Linked DNA regions of Oryctolagus cuniculus. The main gene of each other region encodes a partner of the protein of the gene in region 2 in a complex. Links are inferred from orthologs where the notes say so. Each region holds a gene or a part of one and is shown on either strand. Other genes may lie near its edges. The genes, in order: UBE2J1, OS9, HERPUD1 and FAM8A1.

What was found.
Region 1: OS9 (region 2) and UBE2J1 share a complex: the UniProt entries of both Homo sapiens proteins name them as parts of the HRD1 complex. The link is inferred for Oryctolagus cuniculus from reciprocal best matches to the Homo sapiens genes OS9 and UBE2J1.
Region 3: OS9 (region 2) and HERPUD1 share a complex: the UniProt entries of both Homo sapiens proteins name them as parts of the HRD1 complex. The link is inferred for Oryctolagus cuniculus from reciprocal best matches to the Homo sapiens genes OS9 and HERPUD1.
Region 4: OS9 (region 2) and FAM8A1 share a complex: the UniProt entries of both Homo sapiens proteins name them as parts of the HRD1 complex. The link is inferred for Oryctolagus cuniculus from reciprocal best matches to the Homo sapiens genes OS9 and FAM8A1.

The regions. Positions count from the first base shown.
Region 1 is NC_091436.1:83,190,301-83,197,124, forward strand, and holds part of UBE2J1 (ubiquitin-conjugating enzyme E2 J1), read left to right. Parts: intron 1-4,335; coding exon 4,336-4,614; 3' UTR 4,615-6,824. UniProt on the Homo sapiens protein: Catalyzes the covalent attachment of ubiquitin to other proteins. Functions in the selective degradation of misfolded membrane proteins from the endoplasmic reticulum (ERAD) and is essential for cells to recover from ER stress.
Region 2 is NC_091442.1:60,273,276-60,280,715, forward strand, and holds the start of OS9 (protein OS-9), read left to right. Parts: upstream 1-2,651; 5' UTR 2,652-2,714; coding exon 2,715-2,876; intron 2,877-3,283; coding exon 3,284-3,460; intron 3,461-4,226; coding exon 4,227-4,290; intron 4,291-4,400; coding exon 4,401-4,477; intron 4,478-4,711; coding exon 4,712-4,810; intron 4,811-7,440. UniProt on the Homo sapiens protein: Lectin component of the HRD1 complex, which functions in endoplasmic reticulum (ER) quality control and ER-associated degradation (ERAD).
Region 3 is NC_091449.1:40,587,085-40,593,908, forward strand, and holds part of HERPUD1 (homocysteine-responsive endoplasmic reticulum-resident ubiquitin-like domain member 1 protein), read left to right. Parts: coding exon 1-23; intron 24-3,365; coding exon 3,366-3,443; intron 3,444-3,529; coding exon 3,530-3,604; intron 3,605-4,459; coding exon 4,460-4,590; intron 4,591-6,824. UniProt on the Homo sapiens protein: Component of the endoplasmic reticulum quality control (ERQC) system also called ER-associated degradation (ERAD) involved in ubiquitin-dependent degradation of misfolded endoplasmic reticulum proteins.
Region 4 is NC_091436.1:144,838,718-144,846,100, forward strand, and holds the start of FAM8A1 (protein FAM8A1), read left to right. Parts: upstream 1-3,467; 5' UTR 3,468-3,585; coding exon 3,586-4,300; intron 4,301-5,301; coding exon 5,302-5,422; intron 5,423-7,383. UniProt on the Homo sapiens protein: Plays a role in the assembly of the HRD1 complex, a complex involved in the ubiquitin-proteasome-dependent process of ER-associated degradation (ERAD).

The DNA.
Region 1 (6,824 bases), on a different chromosome or scaffold from region 2:
AGTGCTAATAATTAGGACTATGGTGAAAAACAATGACTGTTCTTTTTCTCTGTAAAAAATTAACTGTCTTTTGGTACCATTGGTTATGTAGGCACATCTTTTATTTTTTTTAAATCCTTTCTTCAGTTTATAGATTACTTTAAGGGGCAAGTAAATTAACCAGGTGCTGGGCCAATACAGCCTGTCTTTTGTGGGGGTGTCCCTTACTAAAGAGTGCGCTCAGTGGTCTTGAGTGGTTTCTCCTGTGGACACAGGGAGCTAGGCGTGGTGGGGGAGCAGAAGGCCCGGAGATAACAGATGGAGGCGTGAGAAAAACGTGTAGGTGGGCGAGAGTAAACCATGTTTACATGATCCCAGTGTCATCGTATGAATCGTAGAGGGACATAATGAGTTAATTATAAAGTTAGAATGTTTAGAGCCGGCGCCGTGGCTCAATAGGCTAATCCTCCACCTTGCGGCGCCGGCACACCGGGTTCTAGTCCCGGTTGGGGCGCCGGATTCTGTCCCGGTTGCCCCTCTTCCAGGCCAGCTCTCTGCTATGGCCAGGGAGTGCAGTGGAGGATGGCCCAGGTGCTTGGGCCCTGCACCCCATGGGAGACCAGGAAAAGCACCTGGATCCTGGCTCCTGCCATCGGATCAGCGCGGTGCGCCGGCTGCAGCGGCGGCCATTGGAGGGTGATCCAACGGCAAAGGAAGACCTTTCTCTCTCTGTCTCTCTCTCTCACTGTCCACTCTGCCTGTCAAAAAAAAAAAAAAAAAAAAAAAAAAAAAGTTAGAATGTTTGAGCTTGAAATATTAAAACTTCTGGATTACTTTTCGTCTCCAGTATTCTAATCATTTTTACTATTTTATGTTTTTTTAAAATAGCACAATTCTGTTAGAAAGAAGGTGGTTATCTTGTTTCAGCTATTAGCACAGGTACTTGTGATATAGTAAATCTTTTATGTATTTTAAATCTGTGTCAGGTCCTCTTGTTATATATTCTGGTTATACCTAGTCCAGTTGCAGTTTTCGTTGTAATCGTTCATAGTCTGTCTCATGTCCCAGAATGTAAGCTCTCCGGGCGTCCTGGTTTACTTTCCACTTCCCTGCCGTATCCCAAGTATCTTGCATAGTGCCTTGCATATAGTAAGCAGTCAGTATGTATTTGTCGTTTGATTGTTTTGGTACTTTTAAAAAATGCTAAGAAAAGGGCTGCTGTTGTGCAGCAGGTTAAGCTGCTTCCTCTGATGCCAGCATCCCATATCGGGTCATCCCATATCAGGGTACCGGGTTAGGTTCTGGCTGCCCTGCTTCCAGTCCAGCTCCTGCTAATGTGTCTGGGAAAGCAGCAGCAGCAGCAGATGGCCCAAAAACCTCAGGTTCCTGCTGCCCACATGGGAGACCAGGATGGAGTTTCAGGCTCCTGGCTTTGGCCTGGCCCAGCCTTGGCTGTTTCAGCCATTTGGGGAGTGAGCCAGTAGATAGAAGATCTCTCTATGTCACTCTGCCTTTCAAATAAATAAAATAAATCTTTTTTAAAAATTGCATTAAGGGGCCAGCTCTGTGGCATAGTGAGTAAAGCCGCTGCCTTCAGTGCTGGCATCCCGTATGAGCGCCAGTTCGAGTCCTGGCTGCTCCACTTCCAATCTCGCTCTCTGCTATGGCCTGGGAAGCAGTAGAAGATGGCCCAAGTCCTTGGGTCCCTGCACCCGTGTGGGAGACCTGAAAGAAGCTCATGGCTTCAGATCTGCTTAGCTCTGGCCTTTGCAGCCACTTGGGGAGTGAGCCAGCGGATGGAAGGCTTCTCTCTCTCTCTCTGCCTCTGCCTCTCTGTAACTCTGCCTCTCAAATAAATAAATAAATCTTTTAAAAAATCTGCATTAAAAATACTAGGAAAATAGGGGCCGGCGCCGCGGCTCACTAGGCTAATCCTCCACCTAGCGGCGCCGGCACACCGGGTTCTAGTCCCGGTCGGGGCGCTGGATTCTGTCCCGGTTGCCCCTCTTCCAGGCCAGCTCTCTGCTGTGGCCAGGGAGTGCAGTGGAGGATGGCCCAAGTGCTTGGGCCCTGCACCCCATGGGAGACCAGGAAAAGCACCTGGCTCCTGGCTCCTGCCATCGGATCAGCGCGGTGCGCCGGCCGCAGCGCGCTGGCCACGGCGGCCATTGGAGGGTGAACCAATGGCAAAGGAAGACCTTTCTCTCTGTCTCTCTCTCTCCCTGTCCACTCTGCCTGTCAAAAAAAAAAAAAAAAAACAACAACAACAACAACAACAAAAAAACAAAAAAAAACTAGGAAAATAGGTAAAGAAATTAAGAAGTTTACATTAGACTGTACAAACAGTGTTACTATTAGGCTAGTATCTTCCTTTTTATTTTAACTTATGCAAGACTTGGAATTCTTTTTCATAGATACAGTTAATTGAGACCAGTTTATGTCAAAATACCAAAAAACAATACATTATCTACAATTATAAGTTAAATTTTTAATTTGCTATACATATAAACTCAGATTAATAATTTGACCACTAGGGAAGTGACTGAAGCTTTGTTTTGGCTGCGGGTGACTGCCTTACTTGCAAGTGTGATATTAATTCACTGAGGTGTTACGCATCAAATCCCAGATCAGCTCTGCATATTTTTTTTTAGCCTGGAAGGGAGAGATTGCCAGGAGTCTAAATACAGAAGATAACATCAGACCATCTGTTGCTTTTTCATGCAGATTTTTTGCTATGGGAAAATACCGACAGTTTTATGTTCTTCTGGTACATCAGATTGAGATTCTGAATAAATCACTCCATTTTATATTAAAAAGCAAACAAAACTCCCTCATAGATGCTGGTTATTCTAGAAAAAGTGATTTATATTACTAAGGACTTAACTATGATTATGAGTATCTTAAGTAGGAAAAATTGTAGACAAGGTACTTAATAAGTGATACCATCCAGGCCGGCGCCGCGGCTCACTAGGCTAATCCTCCACCTTGCGGTGCCGGCACACCGGGTTCTAGTCCCGGTCGGGGTGCCGGATTCTGTCCCGGTTGCCCCTCTTCCAGGCCAGCTCTCTGCTGTGGCCAGGGAGTGCAGTGGAGGATGGCCCAAGTGCTTGGGCCCTGCACCCCATGGGAGACCAGGATAAGTACCTGGCTCCTGGCTCCTGCCATCGGATCAGCGTGGTGCGCCAGCTGTAGCGTGCTGGCCGCGACGGCCATTGGAGGGTGAACCAACGGCAAAGGAAGACCTTTCTCTCTGTCTCTCTCTCTCACTGTCCACTCTGCCTGTAAAAAAATAAATAAATAAATAAATAAGTGATACCATCCAAAAGGCATCTAAAACATAGGAACCTAATTAAAATGTAATATCTGTATAATACTTAAGTGTATGTGCTATGCCATCTACAGTCAATGTTTTAAGGGATTGTTTCCCTGACTATATTAATTGAAAAGCTGTCCTAGATGAGGTTGCAACTATTTTTGAACCTAAACGAGATGCCTCCCAGAAAGATACACTAATAGCAACAAATGAATAATACTAATAAACAGCTGTATATCCTAAGCACTTTTTATCATTATCCCATTTAGTCACAAGTGCCAAATTGGATATTATCTTCATTGTACAGAGATACCACATCTTGATATTGGCTGGCCAGAAATTGAAGTGGTAGAAAGCAGTTGTCATTTGGTGCTTTGAGGAGGCAACCAGTGTGCCAGATAGAGGGTACATTCAGTCACACGTGACTGCCTCCAAACTTCTGAGCATATTCCCAAGGAACTCTGACAGCACAGAATATGCAGTACTAAGACAAGGACACTTGTGAACTTGTGCTCCGGTCCTGCAGCAGCGACTGTGACGAAGGGTAAGCCTGGTCTGAGCACCACAGCGAATCTTCACAGCAGCAGTGCTGGGAAGAGTTGTGATTTCGGGGTGCTGCCTGGGCTCTGCTGTTCTGGTCGGAAGCATGTTGACATGGTAGGAGAATGTTGGAAGAAGACGAGTCACTGTTTTGCCATTTGAAAGTGGAAATGAAACTGCTTCCTCCCTCGAATCTCCTGGAAAAAGGGAAGTGCTCCATGTGTAACCGACGCTGCTGGAGAGCAGAAAGCCACGCATGGAGAGCCTGGGAAGCCCTTCCTCGTCGTGCTTGTCGTGCTTGTCGCTGGCAGGCTCCTCCTCTGCCTCCATGACGTGGGAGTACTCCCTCCTCCTCAGGAAGGAGGGCGTCTCAGGCCGCTCTTGGTAGTTTTGCCCCGAGTTGTACTTGGTACTTAAGATTCTGCTGTATTCTTGAGTAGGCAACAATATATACACAAGCTGTCTTTGCCAATTTCCAACAAAATTTCTTCGCATTTTCCTAGCTTGGAGTCCAGAATCCCTCGGCAGCATCCTTTGAACAACCTACCCCGCCTGCAGCTAAGAATACCTCCATGAGCCCTCGACAGCGCAGGGCCCAGCAGCAGAGTCAGAGCAGGCCATCCGCTTCCCCAGACGCCACGCCAGGCCCGCAGCCCAGAGACAACCACACTGATCACGGCGGATCGGCTGTTCTGATCGTCATCCTGACTTTGGCATTGGCCGCTCTTATATTCCGACGAATATATCTGGCCAATGAGTACATATTTGACTTTGAGTTATAATATTGTTTTGTGACTTAAGAGCTGTGACTCACTCAACTGCTTCATTAAACATTCTGCATTGGGTATATCTCAGAATTGTTTACAAAAAGATTATTTTGTATTCACCCTTCATTCCTTTTTTGATCTTTATAAATTCATCACAGTGTGGCTAGACATTCAGACCGTGTCCGGCAGCGGGTCCCACTTAGTTCTCGGGGCTGGAAGTCGGCGGTCCTCGGCTCACTGGCTGATCTGCTTGCCAGGGAGATAATTTTTTTCTCATGCTTCAGCTGCTTTTTATGCAGGACTTTTTTCTGTGTAGCCCGGTGACATTTTGGGCTAGAAGAGGGTGTTAAGTTCCCATGAGTGCTAGCAGTTACTCAATAGTATTTATTGGGTGCTGTGTTTCTACTTATGGAGAATGACACGGGGCAGAAGAGCTGAAAAGGAAGAGCAGAACTCCTCAAGCAGCTTCCTTAAAATGTCGAGAGCTCCCATTCTGTGAGTTTATGTCCTAACCATTCTTCACCGAGATGAGGTCACATCTTTCTATTGGAGATTACTTGAAGAGGAAGTGCTTTGTAACGGCTTTGATATGCTGTTCCCCTGCTGTCCCCAGTGCACACCAAACTAGAGACAGAAAACAGTCTTCAAGGAAGATCTTTAAGGAAAAAAGGGTCCAAGCCAGGGAATTGTTTGATTTTTCTTCTCCAAGTAAAGTGGGAAGATCTTAAGGTTTGAATGTTTGTTCTGCTTTGAATTGTATATCTTTTGAGATGTATTATATGCCTAGCATTGAAATCACTATAAATTTAATTATTTCAGGAATATGCATAATGTGGAAATATTTCATGCACCATTTTAGTTGAAAAGCTCAGGGCTCAAGTAACCGTGACAGAATTAGGAGAACCTTTACTTAGAATTGTCCACCTAATCGAAGCCCAAGGAAGAATTTCTGGTGGAAAAATCAAGATATAACTTGTGCCAGCCAGCTCCACCAACCCTCGTAGATATTTTTATCATTGTAACGCCTGGTGAGACCCATACAATCACAGGAGATGCTGCCTCCAGTGTGTTCAGTTAGCAACGCTGAGGGCATCTGGAAGTTCTTGATGAGGATTTCAGTTTTAAATGTAAGCAGTCCCCAGCTTTCAAATAGGTGATGCTCTGAAAGTGCATCAGAAGTTCATGTGTTTTTCCAACTCAAACAATGTAGCTGTCCTTCAGCTTCTAGAGCAGTCCACATAAGATAGCCCATGTGGATCTTGGATAGTTGTGGGGAGGGCATTCATAAAGTCCTTACGTGGTTTTGAGTAACTGAAATTATGGGCAATATAAAAAATTATTAAATCATTTTAAAGGCAAATTTAATTTTTACTCCTGGGACTTTTAATCTGTTAACTATGAGGCACAATTCCTGTTTTCATTTGACAGCCAATTTTTCCTTATGTCTGCATCTAAAATAAGAACTTACTGTATACTGTGATATAATACAGAGTTGTCTTAAATTTTCATAGATTAGCATTTAAAGTTGCTTATAGATTATCTCTGTCATATCTGTAACTGAAGTTGGTAGAGGCTAAAAAAAATCCCAAGGACTTTATGAAGACCTCGCATGTCATGAAAATTTTGTCATCATTTTATAACTTTATTGTGTTGAGAAAATGCATTCTGAGCTCTTGATTTGGAACACAAGATAAAAGAAATGTTAGTTCAGAGGTCAGTGGTCTGCTAGCAAGAGGTCCGTGACCCACTGGGAATACCAGGTAGCAGCGGCATCTCAGCGTTTGCTGGGCTCAGAACAGGCTGGCTTCTGCTGCCTCCCTCTCAGCCTCTTGCCAGCCCCTGGGTCTGCGCGGTCGGTCGCGCTGCGTGTTTCCATGGCGTGCACTTACATGGTAAAATCGAGCACTGTGCAGATCCCTCTCATTGGCTTCTTGTCCCTCACCTGTCAACTAACCAGCAACTTGCTTGGTTGTGCTGGGACATAGTGACGGCTGATACATACATCTGAAAGGGGCACACTTCACTCTCTTCTTTTCAGGTCACCTGTGCTCCCTAAAAATCCTTAAATTGATCCCCCATTGTGGGCAAAGTTGGTCTTTGGGAGCCTTCTTAGTGAAACCCCACTGCAGGGTCTCTTCAGAAAACGATTATTTTTAAAGGCCTACCCCATCCCCATAACTAGCATGAGACCAAAATCGAGTGTATAATCTGGTTTACACAGCGCC
Region 2 (7,440 bases):
CCTGGCAGCCCTGAGTTGTGTCTGTGTCCGGGGCTCTGGAAGCAGTGGCGATGCCTCCTGCTTTGTTCTGGGCGCAGATCCTGCTCTTTCCCTTCGCAGGCTCAGCTCTTCAGCGCAGGGAAACACTGCTGAGTGACTTCCTGAGCAACTTCTCTCCTTCTGAGTCTCCGCTCTCTTTCTGAAGTTATCAGTTTTCAGATGTTCGACCCTCTGGACTGATTCTCTAATTTTCATCAATTTTCTCCTGAAGTCAAGCCAATTTGATCTTCAACCTTCTCCAATTTTTCTAATGAATTTTTATTTCACCTATCATGGTTTTGATTTCTAAGAGGCCCTTTTGCTTATCTGAATAGCAATTACTTTATTTAAAAAAAAAAGATTTACTGGGGCCAGCACTGTGGCATAGTGGGTTGAACCACCACCTGCAGTGCCAGCATCCTATATGGGTGCCGGGTCAAGTCCCAGCTGCTGCACTTCTGACCAGCTCCCTGCTAATGGCCTGGGAAAGCACTGGAAGATGGCCCAAGTGCTTCCAAGTGGGCCCTGCACCCACGTGGGAGACCCAGAAAAAGCTCCTCGCTCTTGGCTTCTGTCTGGCTCAGCTCCGTCCTTTGTGGCCATTTGAAATGGGGAGAGACAGAGAAACAGAGACAGAGAGAGAGAATCTTCCATCCCTGGTTTTCTTCCCAAACAGATGCAACAGCCAGATCTAGTCCAGGCATAAGCCAGGAGCCAGAGACTCCATCTGGGTCTCCTGCGTGGGTGTCAGGGCTGCGGGTTACTTGTGCCATCTCCACTGCCTTCCCAGGTGCATTAGCATGAAGCTGAATGGGAAGCGGAGCAGCCTTCTACCTGCCAGCCTGGCAAGAGGTGTCTTGATCCTCTGCACCAGCGACTCTGCCCAGTGGGGCCTTTTAAAACAGCTTCCAGGGGCTAGTAGGTTAACCTCTGCCTGTGGCGCCAGCATCCCATATGGGCGCCGGTTCAAGTCCTGGCTGCTCCACATCCAATCCAACTCCCTGTTAATGTGCCTGGGAAAGCAGCGGAAGATGGCTCAAGTCCTTGGGACCCTGCACCCATGTGGGAGACCTGGAAGAAGCTCCTGACTCCTGGCTCAGATTGGCCCAGATCCAGCCATTTGCAGCATTTGAGGAATGAACCAGCAGATGAAAGACTTCTCTCTCTCTTTCTCTCTCTCTGTAATGCTGCTTCTCAGATAAATAAATCTTTTTTTTTTTTTTTTTTTTTGACAGGCAGAGTGGACAGTGAGAGAGAGAGACAGAGAGAAAGGTCTTCCTTTGCCGTTGGTTCACCCTCCAATCGCTGGTGCACCGCACTGATCCAATGGCAGGAGCCAGGTACTTATCCTGGTCTCCCACGGGGTGCAGGGCCCAGGCACTTGGGCCATCCTCCACTGCACTCCCTGGCCACAGCAGAGAGCTGGCCTGGAAGAGGGGCAACCGGGACAGAATCCGGCACCCCGACCGGGACTAGAACCCGGTGTGCCGGCACCACGGAGGATTAGCCTAGTGAGCCGTGGCGCCGGCCAGATAAATAAATCTTTAAAAAACCAGCTTCCATTGTCATTTTATGGATACACTGTTTCACCTTTCTGAGGCTACAGATGGTGGGGTTTTTAAATTTTAAAATATTTGTCTTATTTTTGCCCTCCCCTAATCTTTATTACCTTTAATTTGCTTTTTTTTCTCTTTGCTTGCTTGGTTTTGTTTCTCTCTTGTATCTTTAAAGTCCTTCCTTGAACGTCTAAGGACACTGCCTGGCTGTGTTAAGAGCGAGGAGGTCAACAAGCAGATTGGAGTCAGCTCAGGGCTGGGGCTTGCCTGTGGGATTGTGTGCCTCACTGCGACAGCTTCTCTTTGGGATTTTCCTTTTGTGCTGGAGAAATTCCCCAGAGAACGTTTTCCAGCGGCACCATGCTCATGTTTACCTTTGTTTAGGGGCCGATTTTCTCATTCTGCTAAGCCGGTTGCCGTTCCTCTGCCGGCTTTCCAGCTTCGCAGACGTTGCATCTGCCTCCTTTCCTTCTTTGTTCTTTGGTGTGTGTTTATTTTTTCTTTTACAATAATACGTGCATTAGCACCTTACTCCGTCTTTCACTGACAGCTCCCGTGATTCCTTTAGGATCATTTTATTGGAGAACAACTGCAGGATCGTGCAGAAAGTCTGACACAAATTACCTGATTGCCCTGAAGTAGTGTATATATGAAATGAGGTATGATTCTAATAATCGCTTGTTTCGCAAAAAGTGTTCATTAACTTCCACGGGTATCGCACACACCTATCCGTCAGCCCCAGTACTCCGCTCTGCGCGGGGCGGGACACTTTGCATGAAACGTCTAAAAAATACGCTAAGCAGAGATGCGCGGGACAGCTGGCCGAGGAGAGCGAAAAGCTGCCAAAAAGCGCCCAGGGCAAGACCACGCCTCTATGGAATTGGGGGAATAAGGGGTGGGGGTCTAATCTCGTCGTTGATTGGTTGGCATCTCTGGCCAATCACGCGCAGTGATTGATTGTGCCAATCGTCGTGGTCCACCTCCCCGGGAACTTTGGAGCCACGTTTACAAATGGGAATCAGGTACGTGAGAGGGACAGAACGTGTAGCCAATGAGAACTTGCGGCGCTAGTGGGAGGGGTGAGGCCGCTGCCAGGTTTAGGGCGGAAGGAGCTTCTCTGGTTAAGAAGGGGAACGAAAGATGGCGGCGGAAACGCTGCTGTCCAGCCTATTGGGGCTGCTGCTTCTGGGGCTGTTGTTACCTGCAAGTCTGACCGGCGGTGTTGGGAGCTTGAACCTGGAGGAGCTGAGTGAAATGCGTTATGGAATCGAGATCCTGCCATTGCCAGTCTTGGGAGGGCAGGTGAGAAGGCGTGTGAGGGGTGAGGGTCCGAGGTAGAAGAGGAAGGAGGAGAGAAGGTAGAGAAAGAAAGGCAGGTGCGGAGGCTGGGGGGAGCCTAAGGGGATCGGGAAGAGTAGGTAGGGCTGTTACAGTGACTCCTGGTGATCGCAGCCTGAGACCCATTCCCTGGGGCCCGGGGCCTGGGGGGAGAGGAGTTCCAGCTGTCAGCCTGCAGGTCGGGGTTCACGGTGCAACACCCAGTCTCCGCCTCCGTGGAGAAGTGGGAGTGCCCCCCAGACCACGGAGGCCTTTTGGCTCCTTCTGTAGCCGCCTGGGCTCCTCCCCAGGGTCCGCAGAGGGATCCGGGTGTTTTCTATAATCGCAGCCTCTCTTTGCGTCGGAGCCCCCGACCTTCCCTTCTTTCCCAGAACCAAGCTTCGGACGTGGTGATCGTCTCCTCCAAGTACAAACAGCGCTACGAGTGTCGCCTGCCCGCTGGAGCTATCCACTTCCAGCGGGAGAGGGAGGAGGAGACACCCGCGTACCAAGGGCCTGGGATCCCGGAGCTGCTGAGCCCCATGAGAGATGCTCCCTGCCTGCTCAAGGTGAGACGGCCTGTGGGGACGGAGCGCGGGCTTGGGAACCGGCAGCCGCTCTGACAGCTGCGGTGCCAACGAGTGCGAGCGGGACCTGGGGAACCTGTAGGAGCTTAGAAGGCCGGGAGTGGTCACCTGTGGGCGTGTAACACAGCCAGGAAAGAAGCAGACTCCTGCAACCTGAGACACGGGACGGCCGATCTCAGACTAGGAGGTGTCACTGTGGCACAGGAGGGGCGGCTCCTCGGGGAAGCCTACCTCCTGCAGTCAGCCCCTTCTGTCACTCGTCACAGTATCCCACTTTTTTTTTTTTTTTATTATAATGGCACTTTTCAGGAGATGAATATTAACTGAATGAGTTTGTTTATTTTTGGTCTGACTCCCAAGCTCTAGAATGTGGCTCCATGAGGTCATTTGGTCTTGCTCATGGCTGCCTTCCGGGTGCTTAGCATAGTGCCAGGAGTGCTAGTTGACTTGCTCTGAGTGCTTCAAGGATAACACGATTCCTTATCTTTATGGAAGGCAAAGGATTAAAAACAAAATCTGGAAGAAAACAAAAAAGGTGGGAGATCCCAGGCAGAGAACAGAGTTTGGGGTTCTCTGTGTCACAGAAGGAAAACAGCTCTTCCTTCTCAGTGAGGGGCTGGAGAATTGAGCGTGGAGGTGGAGGGAGATGAGAAGTAGACAAGAGGTTATGTGTCTTGGAGCCCAGGGCTGGTTCCGAGAAGAGACATCTGCATCTGGGCCCACCCATTCTTCGTTTTGTAATTGGCAGACCAAAGACTGGTGGACGTACGAGTTCTGTTATGGACGCCACATCCAGCAGTACCACATGGAAGGTGACTCGCTCGTCCGTTTCCCCTGTGTGGAAGGTGGCCGCCTCCCCAGCCCTCCTCCCGCTGCCTCCTCTTAGAAGACAGTAACTGCTTCCCTGTGGCTTCTCTTGCAGATTCAGAGATCAAAGGTGAAGTCCTGTATCTCGGCTACTACCAATCGGCCTTCGACTGGGATGACGAAACAGCCAAGGTGGCGGGAGCCTGGGCCTGGAGGAGAAAGGGCTTTGGGCTGCAGGATGAAAGATCTGGAGAGAAGGGGAGGGTCAGGTTCACCGACGACTTTCTAGGGCCTTGCTGGCCACTAGGACCCAGTGCCCTAGGGCCAGGGTTCTGAGGTCTCAAGGTCCCAGCAGGGACGGGGTGCCATCCTTTCTCTTTGCCGTCTTTCTCACACCCTCTCCCTGCGGCCCGATGTCTTCTCCAGGCCTCCAAGCAGCATCGCCTGAAACGCTACCACAGCCAGACCTATGGCAACGGGTCCAAGTGCGACCTCAATGGGAGGCCCCGGGAGGCTGAGGTTCGGGTGAGTCTTAACTCCCTCAGTGACAGCTCCCCTTCTAGAGGAGGAGGGCAGGCTGGCCTGGGACAGTGAGGTGGGGCTCTCCCAGGCCCTAAACCCGAAGGGGTAAGCCGCCTGTTTCAGTGCCGGCTATCCACATGCCCTTCAGGCCAGTAGTTCCCAGATCTTCCGTCTGTGCCCCAACCACGTCCTTGCACCCCCCCACATTTGTCCTTCCTGTCACCTGACTCCTGCTCCACGTTGAGCCCCCTGTCGTCATTAACCAACTCCTCAGTGGGGTCTTGCCATGTTTGTGGGCCACGTGGGAATGCAGTGGTGAGTGTGCAGCCCCTGTCCTCGTGAGATATGCAGTCTGAATTGCAGAAGTGAATCTGAGATTACAAAGAAGTAAGATGAAGGAAAGGAGTCTAATTCTCTCAGCATGAATAACACAGCCCATTCATTCTAGGCGTATCTTAAAACTCACCTTTTGTTTTCTGTGGTTGGTACCTGTATTGCAGCCAACGGCCTCTTTTTTTTTTTTTTAAGATTTATTTATTTGAAAGTCAGAGTTACACAGAGAAGCAGAGGCAGAGAGAGAGCGAGGTCTTCCCTTGCTGGTTCACTCCCCAACTGGCCACAATGGCCGGAGCTGCACCGATCCAAAGCCAGAAGCCAGGAGCTTTTTCTAGGTCTCCCACATGGGTGCAGGGGCCCAAGGACTTGGTCCATCTTCTACTACTTTCCCAGGCCGTAACAGGGAGCTGGCTTGGAAGTGGAGCAGCCGGGATTCGAACTGGCGTCTATATGGGATGCCGGCACTGCAGGTGGTAGCTTTACCCGCTACACCACAGCGCTGGCCCCAACCAATGGCCTCTGAACAAATGCCCCTCAGCATGCCGACGTGTGGTGGGCAGAGAGCCTCAGGAGATTCTGATGCATTCACAAGCACACACACCTGCCACATGCCACCCACCAGCCTTACCTTCTGTCGCTCCCCCTCTTCGTGGAGGAACGACACAGGACCCTGCGCTGTTCTTTTGTCTGCTCGGCCCTCCCCGGGTTTGCTGCTGGTTCTTCCCGGGTTGGCTACCGTCCCTTCCACCTCCGTGGAAGGGCGGTTCCCCCTGCCACTTTCCCCACTTCCGCGGGAGAGCGGCACACCGCCGGCCGGCTCTCTCAGGGGCTGCACAGGTGTTCCCTCAGATAGATGTTCCCCGTAGATGTTCCTGGTGCATGTTGTCTCTCTCCTCCTTTATAGTCCTCCTCCGCCAATCCCAACTCTGCTACCCACACGCCGAGTACGCTGCTCTCCTCCAATCAGGAGCAGGTCCTGCTGTTTATTGGTTGAACTGGAGGCAGCTGTGTAGAAGCTGTTTCTCCCTTCTCAGCGCCATATTGTGGGAGAGCAGATGCATAGAATAAGTCTTAATTCCAGTAACTTAGTCTAGTCCGAGTTGCTCCCCACACCTTCCCATAACACAGATTTGTATGTGCAGTGTGTGCTAGTAAGTGTTGACCGCCCAGATCCCTGGGCAGGGTAGGTGTGCTGGAGGAGGAGTCCTGATTGTAACATTTGCCAATATCTGTGGTCCAAATACTCCAGTCATGCCCACATCAGGATGTCTGCTGTCTTGCAACATTTCCCCAGATTTATCAGTTGTCTCTTGTGAGCTGATTCGTGAGCTGGCTCCAGTCTGCCGCTGTAACCACAGATCACTTCTCTCCCAGCGCTGGAAAACCGTCGCTGATTTTGCTGTGCTTCAGCACTGACCTGAATAGTAGCAGCAGAGAGGGTGAGAAATAGGCAGATTCTGTCTCTGTTTTGAAGGTAGAGCCGAGAAGATTTATTGACGTATGGGATGTGGCAGAGAGGAAAGGGTGACCCCAGAGGTTTCCGTGTGAGCTGTTGGAACCACAGCATCGTCATCTCCTGACGTGTGAAGGAGCAGGTTTGGGGGAGGCAGTTCAGTTGGTTTTTGACATACGCAGGTCAAGGTACCTATCAGACATCCCCGCAGCATGTGCGGTTGGCATTTAGCTCTGTGGGTCTGGAATTCAGGGCGAGATCTAGGCTGGAGATAAAAATACTCATCGTGTTTCTGCCACACTGGCCGCCTTCTGTCCTTTGAACCAGTGACTCTCATTGTTCCCTCTGCCTGGGATAGTCCTCCCCCAGACCTTTGAAAGTCTGGCTCCTCCCTCGTTTGGGTTACATTCTAAGGGCACTGCCACACAGGGCCACCTGACATACACATGCATGTGCTTCTCCTCCTGAACTGGTGAGCGTGGACAGTGTCTTCTAGTCTTCAGAGTGCGAATCATTGCCTGAAATTACCCTATTTGTTAAAATTCAGTATCTGTTTCTGTCTACCACTGGTAGAATAAGCTCCAGGAAGGTAGGGCCTGTGTCTGTCTTGTTTTCTTCGGTATCTTCAGCGCCTGGAATGGTGCCTGGTACCAAGTAGGTGCCCAGAAATTGCTCAGTGACTGACTGGAATGAATGACAGCTGGTTCAAATGGCGCCTTTCCTGGCTGACCCAGAGGCTGGTTAGTTGCTTCATACCCATGTGCATGGATTTATTCCGCTTTGAATTCCATTCCTCTATGGGCTTTCTGAAGTGCCCACAAGCATCCACACGCACAGGAATGTG
Region 3 (6,824 bases), on a different chromosome or scaffold from region 2:
GTCGCGTCTACCCCGAGCGCCCGGTAAGAGGGGCCCCGCCTCCCCCTTTCCGGGAGTCCCTCCGTGCGGCAGCTCCCCCCACGACGGCGGGTCCCCTCCTGGGCACTTCCCCCAGGGCCGAGGTCCCCTCCCGCCGCGGGCGCCCCTCTCCTTGCCCGGGAGCTGTCACCCACAGGGTCTGGGCCGTCTTCACCCCGCCTTTCTGACGGGCTGCTGGCTTGTCACTCACTCCGCCTCCCCCACGTCCCCAAACCCACCTCCCCAGGCCTGGCTCCCCCCACCCGAGCCAGGCCGCCGAAAACAGCAGTTTGACCTTGGCTGAGCTACGTCACCCTCCAGTCCGTCCTTTGCCCCAAAAGACCCAGGCGACTAAGTGTTCCTAACCAGGCCTGCGCCCTCGGCATCCAAGCAGGAATCCGTGCTGCGCGCGGCGTCTTAGCGGGGAGGGGACCGTGCAGGTGCCAGCCCGGGGCCCTACCCAGAGACCCGGGCAGCGCCCGGGCGCCGTGCGCTTGAGGTCCCACGCCCAGAAGAGGACGTGGCTCTTCCCTCGCTGCCCACCTTCCGCCCGCTGGCCCGCGGCTCCTCCCCGTCGCGCGGGGCTCCCCGCTGGTGGCGCAGGGAGGAGCCGCGGGCACTGGGCGATGGAGCCGGGAGCCAGGCGGGAGGAGTCGGCCCGAGGCTGGTTTTCAGACCCGGGCCCCCCCACCCCACCCCGTTTGGGGAGCTCTCCTTGCTTTGTTTTGGTTGACGCATCTGTCAACATCGCCCTTAGCGCCGCCCTCGCGCCCCGCCACGTGACGCGAGGCCGCCGCGAGCCGGACCTTCCTGTATTTACTTTGCACTCGGATGTTGCGTAAGCGTCGGCCGGGTTGCTCGCTGCCCACCACCCTGTGATCCTCCGTGGGGCAGGAGGAGGGCCGACCCGTGGGAGCGCGCGTGTCCTCGGCGCCTTTTCCTTCCTGGTTGGGAACGTGGACGTGGACTGCCCCTCGGACCTGTGGTTTTTTGGCCTGTGTATCCCGTCACCTCCCGTTCCCGTGGCCTTTGCAATTCACCGCTTGCCTCTCCAATTTCTTGGGAGCTGCTTCCAGGAAATGAGGTGGCCTCGAGGTGCACAGATAGGCGAGGGGCAGGTGCGGAGCATCACTCCCCTGAGTGTGACGACCTCAGAAAGATCTGTCATGTGAACACATTGGTATTTACAAATTACTGCTGGAGCATGCTCAGCATTTGTTTTCTGTAGTATAAAATGGTATAATGTGAGACTTCCGACTTTAGAATAGTTAACATTTAACTTTTTTGTTAGCTTTTATTTTATTTTTTTAATACTGTTTGAAAAAGTTATAGAGAGAAGGGGGAAGAAACAAAGATCTTCCATCTGCTGCTTCACTCCCCAGTTGGCCCCCACAGCCTGGGCTGGGCCAGGCCAAAGCCAGGAGCTTCATCCGGGTCTCCCCTGGGTGTCGGGGGCTCAAGCACTTGGGCCATCTTCCACTGCTTTTTCTAGGTGCTTTAGCAGGGAGCTGGATGGGAAGTGGAGCAGCTGGGACTGGAACCAGTGCTCATATGGGATGCCAGTGTCACAGGCCCCTTAAGTCAGTTCTTTTTCTTTTTTGTTGATTCAGGCCTCGAAAAAGGGGTGGGGAACAATTCAAATCCACAAGCAGCTGTAGTTTTGACATCTTCTCTAGTGGTTGAACTCTTTCAAATAAATACATTAAAAAAAAAAAAAAAAGAGTTACACAGAGAGAAGAAGAGGTAGAGAAAGAGAGAGAGGTCTTCCACCGCTGGTTCACTCCTGAATTGGCCGTAACGGCCGGAGCTGCGCTGATCTGGAGCCAGGAGCCCTTCTGAGTCTCCCACACAGGTGCAGGGGCCCAAAGACTTGGGCCATCTTCTGCTGCTTTCCCATAGCAGAGAACTGGATCGGATGTGGAGAAGCTGGGACTCAAACCGGCGCCCATATGGGATGCCAGCACTGCAGGTGGTGGCTTTACTCACTATGCCACAGCGCTGGCGCCACGGTTGAACTCTTAAATAAAATGCAAGGCTCCACATAATACAGTAGTAGTTTACAAATGCACATATATAGCATTTGCCTCTGACATCAGCCAGAACAATGATGAACACAGCGTCCATCAGATTTCTTTGTTAAAAGAAGTCCTGATGCACGTAGATAAGAAGGTGCTATTTTTTCCGGTGTGATTTTAAGCAGCTTGCTTTATAATTCTAGGCTTTTGAACAAGAACAGCTTCATTCAAAATCTTGCATTATTCTGGCAAGAGTAGGTGGAGGAGTTGGAGACCTCCAGTGTACTGACTGCTGTGTTATTTGAGGCCATTGTTTTTAAGTATAATTTAAATGGAGTTAAAAATTTTAGACTGGCGCCGCGGCTCAATAGGCTAATCCTCCGCCTTGCGGTGCCAGCACACCAGGTTCTAGTCCCGGTTGGGGTGCCGGATTCTGTCCCGGTTGCCCCTCTTCCAGGCCAGCTCTCTGCTGTGGCCAGGGAGTGCAGTGGAGGATGGCCCAAGTCCTTGGCCCCTGCACCCCATGGGAGACCAGGAGAAGCACCTGGCTCCTGCCTTCGGATCAGTGCGATGAGCAGGCCGCGGCGGCCATTGGAGGGTGAACCAACGGCAAAGGAAGACCTTTCTCTCTGTCTCTCTCTCTCACTGTCCACTCTGCCTGTCAAAAAAAAAAAATTTTTTTTAAAGTGAGGTGTATGAAGCGTGTGGAGTCCCCACAGCTGTAGATTCACTGGCGTAGAGAAGAGAGGGTTGGACCGTTGACTCTTTAGCAGTGGTGACCTGGGCCAGTTTCTCAGACTTTGCCCCCTAAAGTAGGGGCAGGAGGTCCCACAAGGTGTGGTATGTCATGTTACCCACACAGCATCTCTGTAATGGAGAAATCTTCTGTGAGGGGCTTGTGCTTAGCATTGCTTCCTGTTGTGTTGGGGCGATGGTAGGTGGTTTTGACGAAGGCTGACCTTGGGAGTACTCTGAGTTCTCTCTGAGACCAAGCCTAGTTTTGAAGTTAGTTGCTATAGGAGCCCCAAATAAAATTTCTGGTTTTCGTGGTGCAAACCCATTTCCCTGGTAGGTAGGATGTCAAGTGTGCTGCCTTGGGTTTCGTGGGCTGCAGATAATTTGTCATCCTAAATTTATTTGCATATTTGAGATCAGTTTAAATTTAAGCACTTTCTGAATAAAAGTTGTGAATGTGGGGCCTTTGCAAGGTGTTTTCCTGTGAGGCTGGGGGAAGTGTGCACACTGGGGTCATGGTATGAAACAGTTGACTCTGTGCTGGAGCGGTGCAGGAGCTAAATGCTGACCTCTGACCCCTTTTCTCTCCACGCTCAGCGTCCAGAGGACCAGAGGTTGATTTATTCTGGGAAGCTGTTGCTGGATCACCAGTGTCTCAGGGACTTGCTTCCAAAGGTGCGTCCCTTACACTGTAACTTTGGAATGCTTTTAGGCGCCAGCAGCCTGAGCGCAGTCCTAAAGTACCTCCTCATGATTTTTAGCAGGAGAAACGGCATGTTTTGCACCTGGTGTGCAACGTGAAGAGTCCTTCAAAAATGCCTGAAGCCAGCACAAAGGTAGGTCGGCTTTCTCTGATTGCAACAATTTGTTTTCAACTCTGAAGGGAGAAATGCAGGAACTTGGAGAACACTTTTAAGAGAGATTTTAGAGCATGTGCTGGAGAGTGGGCCAGAGCCGAGGTGGAAGTGTGGGAGTCAGGAGTGTGACCCGACCTCTGGGTACTGTGTGTCCAGATCACTGAATCAGCAAGGCACTTGAAATGAAGGTGGTAAAAATTGTGCCCACAAGTTTCTTCTAGGGAATCGTTAGTACTATAAAGAATAAAAATCTGAGTATATTTCCTTTGGAAATTCTCATTGTGACTATTTATTTGGATAGAAAAAGGCCACAGTCTTTGTCACGTGATCTGTGAAGATTTATTTTTATTTGATAGAAGTGTTTGTTTTTCATTTCACAATGTTTATCGGAATATACAGTATCGATATTCTAATCATGTACTCTTAAGTTTGTATTACAACTATTTTTAAAATTTATGAATAGAGTATAGGAAATTCTCTTTCCTTTCATTTTCTGGCTGCATTGTATTTATAAATCCTAGTCAAATTTAGTGTCTTAAGTTACATCTTATGATGCTGAACTTACTAACTCATCAGGAAGTTTTCTCAGCAGTGATAACCTCATTGGAAGGCTTTAGTGAAACTGCAGTGTAATTACTCTGGGGAAAGAAAGTATGGATTTTTAAGGATCCATGTATTTAAAATTGGGTTGAATGAATTTCGGAATATTTTTTACATGACATTGCCTGTTTAATTTTGTCTGGTTTAGAGGTGGGGGCGGGGCCATTCACAGCAGAGTGATTGCAGGATGGTTGCATCACGGCCTTTGTTCTGACCAGCACCTTACTTACGCAGGTTGCTGAGTCCACAGAGCAGCCCCCTGGTCCTAATCAGGGCCAGCATCCTGGGGATTCCGCAAGTGATGGCCTAAGGCAAAGGGAAGTTCTTCGGAACCTTTCTCCCTCCAGCTGGGAGAACATCTCCAGGTGAGTGTTCTCATTGAAGAATAAGATGTGTTTGCACCTGTGTGGTCAGAGAACAAAATTTGGCCTTGCAGAGGATTTCATTTTAAAGATACCTTATTTAGCTTTTCTTTGTACACAGCCATTTAGGGAACATCTGAAAAGGCAGGACATGCCTGTCCAGAGAGCGTAGGCATTTTCCTCGCCGTCATGGGTGTGTTTCCTGGTGTTGCCCTTGGGATAGAACACTGTGCGGCTGCTTGCTGAGAGCCCTGCGCTTTGTGTATCGTAACAACGAGGGCAACGGTGAAGGCGCTGAGAAGCGTCCTGCCAGGATGCTTAGAAAAGAGGTTATTACTATTTTTTAAAAGATTTATTTATTTGAAAGGCACAGAGAGAGAGAGGAAGAGAGATCTTCCATCTGCTGGCTCATTCCCCAAGTGGCTGCAGTGGTCAGGACTGGCCAGGAGCCTGGAACTCCACCCTGGCCTCCCACACGGGTGACGGTCTTATCATTGTCGGCCCCCATATTTTTAGAACAATTAGAGCTTTGCTGTAGAGCAGAGATCAGAAGTGACTGGCCGCTCTGAGGTTTAGATTTGACAGCTGTTGGAATACCTCATAAAGTACCTGTGGGAAAAATAATATTGTTGACTACAAGTTAAAATTCTTTAATTCTCTAGTTCTCCCACCTCCTCTTCCTAGTAGTTTTTATCCTCAGTTTTTGATAAAGGCAGATGTTTGAGGAATCGGACTTTTTTTCCTTTAAGATTTATTTATTTTTTTGAAAGTCAGAGTTGCACAGAGAGAGGAGAGGCAGAGAGAGAGAGAGAGGTCTTCCATCCATTTGTTCACTCTCCAATTGGCTGCAACGGCCAGAGCTGTGCCTATCCAAAGCCAGGAGCTTCCTCCAGGTCTCCCACGTGGGTACAGGGGCCCGAGGACTTGGGCCATCTTCTACTGCTTCCCCAGGCCATAGCAGAGAGCTGGATTAAAAGTGGAGCAGGCGGTCTCGAACCAGTGCCCATATGGGATGCTGGCGCTTCAGGCCAGGGCGTTAACCCACTGCGCCACAGTGCTGTCCCCATGGCTTTTTTTTCTTAATGAGAATTTGGAATATACAAAAGTAGAGGGAATTACATAAGGACCCCACATAACCATCACCCAGGCCCCAGTGTTGCTCCTTTCCCTTTTTTTCTTCATGCATTAGAAGTAATTCCTGGACATCCTGTCATTCTGTCCCTATATACTTCAGTAAATAGCTGTACGAAACATTTAGTTGGGTGGGAAGTATCACTGTATCCCTAAATCTGTATATGTGAAATGCATGAATGTTGTTCACCTTAAAAAAATTTAGCAGGAGAAAAGAAAAATTGCTGGCGTTAGTTGAGTTTTATATGTATGTAAGTTCAGCATACATAAAAGATTATTCTTAAATAAACCTTGTTATCTATAAAAAGAACCATTTAGTTTCCTTACATATTTGCAATGCCATCATGATTAGATCTTACAAAATTTTGAAAAGGACCTCATCTAATTTTCATGCATTAGAACTTTTTTAATGATCAAAAAGTGTCAAACTAAGACCTTCTGTTTTAGAAATTCTCTGGATATGGGGTTCAGTAAAAGACTGTCAGCATATAAACTGGATACCTTGTTGGATAGACGATTTAAAGTGGCCTCTCTCATTCTGGCTGTTTAGCATGAGAATTGAAGCTTATCTGATTGCTTGAATTTTACCATATTTAGACTTGTTGATTTCATTTAAAATATGTTTATTGAATAGGCAGTGCATATACCTTTGCTTACAGATACAAGTTGACCAGCAGGAATGAACACGTAACATGCTCCTGATTTTCCTGCAATTCTGTTATAGTTTCAGTTTGTGAAAGGGAGGGAGTTCACTGTGTAGGAAGCACAAGGCCAAAGAAGAGAGTCCCACCTCCCCTGCCCTAAGCAGCTGGAGCTGTGTTACACGATTGGAAAAGCATGAGTTTGACGTCAAACAAAATAAGTCTCAAATCCAGGCCTGCTACTAGCTCAGCGACCTTGTGAAAATCCCTTGTATTCTCTGAGCTGTGCTTGGGCTCCCTTCTGTAAAATGGGAGTGCAGTCCTTCCCCACATGGTTACTGGGGATCCAGTGACCTGGGCAGGCTGCTAGGTGGTCAGTAAGCAAGCACAAGTGATGTCCCCTGCACAGGAAACTGCCCCAGGACACATCTCCCAGGAAGACAGAAGTACTTCCGGAAAGACTTT
Region 4 (7,383 bases), on a different chromosome or scaffold from region 2:
CCTTTAATATTCCCTGGTTTCTGTTCTTGGCTTTCTTCTCATTGCATCATTTCACTTCCATTCATTGCATCAAGGGCCACCTATATCCAATGACTCTCAATCTGTACCTTCACAGATGCAATGTACTCAGCAGCCAGTACCCCCTGGATACCCACAGGAACCTCACTGCACCCCCTTCTGCCATCGTGCACTACCTCCTGTCTTCTTCATTCCCACGGAGGGCATCACAGTCCACTCATCCAGTCAGCCACGCTGCAGAGTGTGTGACGCGCTCTCTCTCCTCCCAGATGCATGCAGTCAGCCAGTTCTGCAAATTGAGCTTCCTTATTCACTCAAATGCTCCGTCTCCCTTACATCCCACTGTAAGTGCTCTGGGTTAGGTTCTCTTCATTTTATCTAGACTGTACTCTCCCCGCTGGAGTCACATCTTCAGTGGTACACCATTTCCAACTCATCTTTCACAGTTAGCACAAGGATATGACCAGGTGTACATCCCTGAGTAAAGCTCTTCAACAGCTTCTGCTCTCTGTGGGTTGAAGTCCAAACTCCCTCATGGAGGACAAAAGCACTCTGACTCCTCCCTCCTTTTCCTGGCTTATCTCCATGCCAGCCAGCCAAGGCCCTAAGTGTCAGCTATTTCTGTGAACTTTGCTCAGGTTGCAGCCTTTCCCTGCAATCACAGTCCCTCCTGTGTCTCCATCACGAATGTTGCTAAGACTTAGCTCATGACCACCTCCAGTGTGTCACCTCAAAGCTGTTCCCTAGTCTCAGGCCTGTCTCCTAACAGATGGATGGACCCCTGTGGTGGAATGAGGTGAAAAGGTCCTATCAAGATGGCCGCTGACAACAGAAACTGCCTGGCAACAGGCCGTGATTGGATGGCTTTGGAAACTGACAACAGGCTGTGATTAGTTGGGGCATAGACTGCCCCTTGACCGGATTGGCTGGTCTTGACTATATAAGCTGTTGTACTAACTGAAATAAACCAGTCTGTGGGCTGCTTGCCTCCAGCCCACTTTCACCCGACTCCTGGGGTCTGTGTGGTGACTCCATGCCTCTTGCCCCCACCATGCTCCTCCTCTCAGAAACAAATGCACCGCAACATTGTTGAGAAATCAACTGCAACAGACCACTCCCTCCTTGGGGTTCACACTTTACCAGACACTTACTCACCGCCAAGCTCCCCCATCCGTTCTGTGAGCTTCTCAACTACAAAGACTACATCTCACTCGCCTTTGTATCCCCATCATCTAGCATAGCAACCAGCGCAGACAGTGCTCAGTAAATGAGGAAAGAAATGGAGTTGTGGCTAGAGGGAGGTGGAGAGGTCTACTCTCTTGAGGTGCTCACGGGGAGCAACCACCAACACTCTTGGGTTAGAACCAGTGAAAGCCATCTAGGGATGCAGCGAGAGTGACTCTCAGCCTTAGGTGCACAAATTGCCTGGGGGAGTACAGATGCTCAACTCACAATGGGGTTATGTTCCCAAGAAGACCACCGTAAGTTGAATGTCATAAACAGAAAAAGCATTGTGTGCACCAGACCTCCTGTACATCCTGGCTCAGCAACAGAGCACTGCAGTGGTTTTCCTTGATAACTATGGGGCTAACTAGCAGCTGCCCAGCATCTCCTGGGTTGGACCACCCAGTGGTAGCCAGGGAAAGATCCAAGTTCAACAACTATGTTTTCCAATATGGTTTCTATTGAATGCAGATCACATAAGGAATGCTTTCAGGAGCAATGCTGATGGTACCGCTTGATCAACTCAGACCTAAGAGAGTTTCAAGATTTTATTTTTATTTATTTGAGAGGTAGATTTACAGAGAGACAGAGGCAGAGAGAAAGAGAGGCCTCCCACCTACTGGTTCACTTTCCAAATGGCCCCAACAGCCAGAGCTGGGCCAATCTGAAGCCAGGAGCTTCTTCGGGTCTCCCACGTGGGTGCAGGTGCCCGAGGACTTGAGCTATCCTCTATTGCTTTCCCAGGCCACAGAATAGAGCTGGATTGGAAGTGGAACAGCTGGGACTTGAACCAGAGCCCCTATGGGAAGCCAGCACTGCAGGCAGCAGCTTTACCTGCCAAGCCACAGCGCTGGCCCCACGATCTTATTTTAAAGGCAGAGTTTAGAGAAAAAGTGTGAGATCTTCCATCTGCTGGTTCGCTCCCCAAATAGCTACAACAGCCTGAAGCCAGGAGCCAGGAGGTTCTTCTAGGTTTCCCACAAGGGTGCTGGCACCCCCAGGTGCATCAGCAAGGAGCTGGATGGGAAGTGGAGCAGTTAGGCCTTGAACCTGGGCCTTAAGGGATGCAGGCATCACAGGTGGTGGCTTCACCTGCTAAGCCACAACGCCAGCCCAATACTCAGTCTTAATAGTTTTTCAAGTGTTGTGTCCAAGTCTCTATCCAGCTCATTAGCTTCTTAGACGTTAAGCCTTTTAGATGCCCCTGAGCAGTCAAAAATTATTCTGGGCATCATCAGTAAATACTCCATGGGCTCTTGGCCCCTGTTGGCCCTGATTCTGGCCAAAGTTATACTACTACGACTGAGGGAACTAATCCAGTTAAGGACATGGGAAAGCATATTAAAATACTAGTCTGTGGGAACAGCGCTGTGGCGTAGCAGGTAAAGCCACTGCCTGCAGTGCCAGCATCCCATATGGGCTCGGGTTCGAGACCTGGCTGCTCCATTTCCCATCCAACTCTCTGCTATGGCCTGGGAAACAGAAGATGGCCCAAGCCCTTGGGCCCCTGCACCCACGTGGGAGACACGAAAGAAGCTGCTGGGTCCTGGCTTCGGATTGGTGCAGCTCTGGCCATTGCAGCCAGGTGGGAAGTGGACCATCGGATGAAAGACCTCTCTCTCTCTGCCTCTCCTTCTCTGTAACTGATTTTCAATAAATAAATCTTTTTTAAAAGGCTCCCAAACCCTGGATATAATCAGGGGTTCTTTCCCCAACAGGAAAACAGGCTTAAGGAAAGGTTCCGCTCTGCGGCAGCGGGAAAGTTTTTATGGACACAGGCTCGCTAGCTCCAGCATCAGGACCAAGACCAGCTTCTAAATCAGCAATCTCTCTTCCCGTCGCATCCCAAAACAAGTCCCAGTTCAGTTTGGCTGTCGATGTGTTTCTCCCAAGTGCACAGACATTCTCGAGCACAAATGGCGAACCACGCTCTCGGCTCGGCGAGGGCAATGGCGGCGCTGGCCCCGGGCCCGTCCCGGAAATCCCCCTCCATCCAGCCGAAGTTTCTCACGGGACATCCGGCGCCAACCCCCCGGGATTCTCTAGAGAGGCCTCAGGCCTTAGACATCACTCGATTAACCATAAAGAGGCGTGGGGAGCCGGACTGCCGACGGGACAGGAACCCAAAAACCCCACACCAGACACAACAGCCCAACCTCCCGGCCTCCGGCGGCCCCGCGCAGCGATCAGCGACGCCCCCCGAGGGGCGGGGTTTCCGCTTCCGGTGGCGGATTGTTGACGCCTGCGGCTGCTGCGGTGGCGAAAGGGCCGTTGGGGAGGGGCCTCTGAGGGGAGGGAGACGGCGCAGTGACAGGTACCGCGAAGGGTGCTGCCGAGGCGACGATGGCAGAAGGGCCCGAGGAAGCCCGAGGTCGCCCTCCCGGGCAGGACGATGGCGGAGGGGACCACGCGCCTGTCCCTTCCCTGAGAGGCCCTCCCGCAGCCGCCGGCCCTTGTCCCCGAGACGCGGCGCCAGTCGAACCCCAGGCCCCGGGCCGGCCGCCAGCCCCGGCCCTCGCGCCCGCCTCCGCCGCTGCCCCGGAGGAGTCGGAGCCGCAGCGGGAGCTCAGGAGGCGAAGAGAGGCGGCCCCGAGCTCCGGCGCGGGGCTGCAGGAGCCGGCGGGCTGCGAGGCGGCCGAGGCCGAGGCGCTGCGGGAGAAGCCGGCGCGGCTGAGCGCCCGCGAGTACTCGCGGCAGGTGCACGAGTGGCTGTGGCAGTCCTACTGCGGCTACCTCACCTGGCACAGCGGCCTGGCCGCCTTCCCCGCCTACTGCAGCCCCCCGCCGCCCGCTCCCAGCTACGCTACGGCCGCCGCCGCCCCCCAGGCCGCGGCGCCGCCGCCCCCGCAGCTGGCCTATTACAACCCCTTTTACTTCCCGAGCGCCGGCGCCGCGGGAGCGGAGGCGGGGGCGGCTGCGGGCATCAGCACCCCGGCCCCGGTGGCGGGCCTGGGGCCGCGGGCTCCTCACGTGCAGGGCTCGGTCCGGGCCGCTCCAGCGACTCGTGCGGGATCCGCCGCGCCTTCGCGCGCCGCCAGCGAGAGCGGGCGGCAGGCAGGTGAGCAGCGCGAGGCGCGGGGGGTATCCCGAGGGGGTCTTCGGGGAGGCTGCCTGCAGGGTTTGCGCCCCCGTGGGGACGGCCGCGGCTCCCGGGAGTGTGCCCGGGCCTTACACCCCAGTGCCGTCCACCTTGAGAGCAGATCGAGGGCCTCGCGCCCGGGTCGATTCCCACGGGGAGGAATCTGCCCTGGAGAGCGAGGTGGAGAGTTAGACCCACTTGTGCAGAGACTTGACTGGCAATGCTGGAGTGCGCTGCCTAGGGGCTGTGGGCCTGACCGATCCGGAGGATTTACATGAATGCAAATGGAGTTCCCAAGTGTTGGCTGGCCCCTGCTTACTGCTTTCGGAGCCTCCTTGTTAACTTCTGCTTGGGAACTAGAAATGGCTTTAGTTAGCTACGCTTGTTAGAGTTTGTATTCAGCCACCGATATGTGGACCGAGAACCAGTTGGTGCCTGTATATGAGCCTGAATCAGAATTGAGGATGACAGGTTGATGACCCGCGGATTTATTTTCTAGAAAGTAAAACAATGACTGAGGGGAGGGAAATGTGAGATACCGGGATTTACTCTACACAGTATTTATTTATGCTGTACTTTATACCGTGGGTGTTTATACTATAGTTTACTCGAGTTTTACCTTTTTCTCTTAAAGTTTAATTGAGTGTCGCCTAGGTGTGATCACCTGGATTCTCCTAATTTGAGTCCTGCTGAAATGTTTTGGGTACTTGAATCAAACACAGCTGTGAAATCAATCTTTGAACATTAGAGTGATGAAAATAAATTTTAAGCAGTTTATTAAACACAGTGCAGTGGTATCGCTGTATTTTAGTAATACATACTCTTGTTGGGATCAGTATGACTAACTGATGCAAGGTTGTGAATATTCATAATTACTAGGTTGTACCTTGACTTTGCTTTCTCCATTCTTACTTGCCTTGTGCACTAAAGCCTTTGTGAAATGATCATTTTTTCATAATTTTCTTTTTTTTAACTTACAGGCAGGGAGTATGTTATTCCATCCTTGGCCCACAGATTTATGGCGGAGATGGTGGATTTCTTTATTCTGTTCTTTATAAAAGCAACCATTGTCTTAAGCATTATGCACCTCAGTGGAATAAAGTAAGTTAAGCACCTTTGTAGAAGAGTTTGAATTTCTACTGTTTAGAAATTATTGAGTTCTCTTCATGCCTGCAAGTGACTATAAGGATAATGTCATGATTTCTTTCTAAAAGCTCTGTCGGATTTATTTCCTACTGGACCTAAGAAATAACTACAAAGGAGAAAAAAACTCCTCATACATTCTGTAAGATCTGTGAGAATTTCACCCATCAAAAGTAGGTAAAATGATCCTCCAATCCTGGTTTGTTTTCATTCAACTATTCTTGGGCCAGGAAGCAATTTCTCTCTTATTATTCTGTAGAGAGAGTCTCTAACGACAGAAATATAAAGAGCTTTTGGTGGGTGAACTCCTAATTATCAACTAGATGTATTTCCAAATGGCATTGCTTACCATGAGCCCAGTCCCAAGAGAACTGCAAAGTGAGACATTTATTTGAATAACCCTCTCCTGAGATTAAAATAATCATAACAGCAGTTCTCATTTGCTAAGCACTTTCTGTATGCTAGGCACTTAGCTCGCGTCTTTATATGGCGTCTTATTTCATCTTAGTACCACTATGAGGTAGAGGCTAATACCTCCATTTTATAGAGATTGAAATTTGAGTATATGAGAACCTAGGCCCAGAATTTTAAAGGTTACAGAAGTACTAAGTGACCATGTCAAGATACAAACATGTGGTCAATTTTTTTTTTTAGATTTTTTTATTTATTTGAATGATAGAATTACAGAGAGGAGAGAGAGAGAGGAAGGTCTTCCATCAGCTGGTTCACTCCACAAATGGCCACAGTGGCTGGAGCTGTGCCAATCCGAAGCCAGGAGCCAGGAGTGTCTTCTGGGTCTCCCATGTGGGTGCAGGGGCACAAGCACTTGGGCCATCTTCTGCTGCTTTGCCAGGCCATGGCAGAGAGCTGGATCGGAAGAGGAGCAGCGGGGACTCAAACTGGCGCCCATATGAGTTGCCATCGCTGCAGGTGGAGGCTTAGCCTATGACACTGCAGCACCGGCCCCACATGTAGTCAGATTCTAAAACCCCTTGCCAGGAAGCTAGTGTTTCTGCTAGTCCTTCCTGCCCCCTCCCTCTCCTGTGCCTCTATACATCTGATCAAATTCCAGCTCCTTTATGTTCCTTCTCCTGAATGGCTTTCCACCCAGACCATTTCCTCCTCACTTTTCATCAGATCATTTTTCATCATCACTGCTTCTTCCTGGTCCTATTACTGTCATCCTTGAGTTGATTATGGAAAAGTCTTTTTTTTTTTTTTTAAATTATTTATTTATTTGAAAGGCAGTTAACAGGCAGAGGCAGAGGGAGATCTTCCATCCACTGGTTCACTCCACAAATGGCTGCAACGGCCGGAGCTAGGCCTATCTGAAGCCAGGACCCAGGAGTTTCTTCCAGGTTTCCCACGTGGGTGCAGGGGCCCAAGGACTTGGGCCATTTTCCCCTGCTTTCCCAGGACATAGCAGGGAGCTGGATCAGAAATGGAGCAGCCAGGTCTCAAACTGGTACCCATATGGGATGCTGGCAGGGCACTGCAGGCAGCAGCCCCTGATTATAGTAAAAGTCCATCTCTGTCCTTTTTCTGATATAAAGCCAAGTGATTATAAATCCTGATTCTTTTTTAAAAAATATTTATTTATTTATTTATTTGAAAGGCAGAATTACAGAGAGAAGGAGAGGTGTCTGCTGGTTCACTCCCCAAATGGCTGCAACAGCCAAAGCTGGCCCATGCAGATCCAGGAGCCTAAGCTTTATCCAGACCTGCAGCGTGGGTGGCAGGAGCCCAAGGACTTGGGCCATCTTCCGCTGCCTTCCCAGGCACATTAGCCAGGAACTGGATCAGAAGTGGAGCAACTGGGGGCTGGCGCTGTGGCGTGGCAGATGTAAACCTTGGCCTGCTCCCTGCTAATGCACTTGGGAAAGCAGTGGTGGATGGTCCAAGACCTTGGGCCCCTGCAC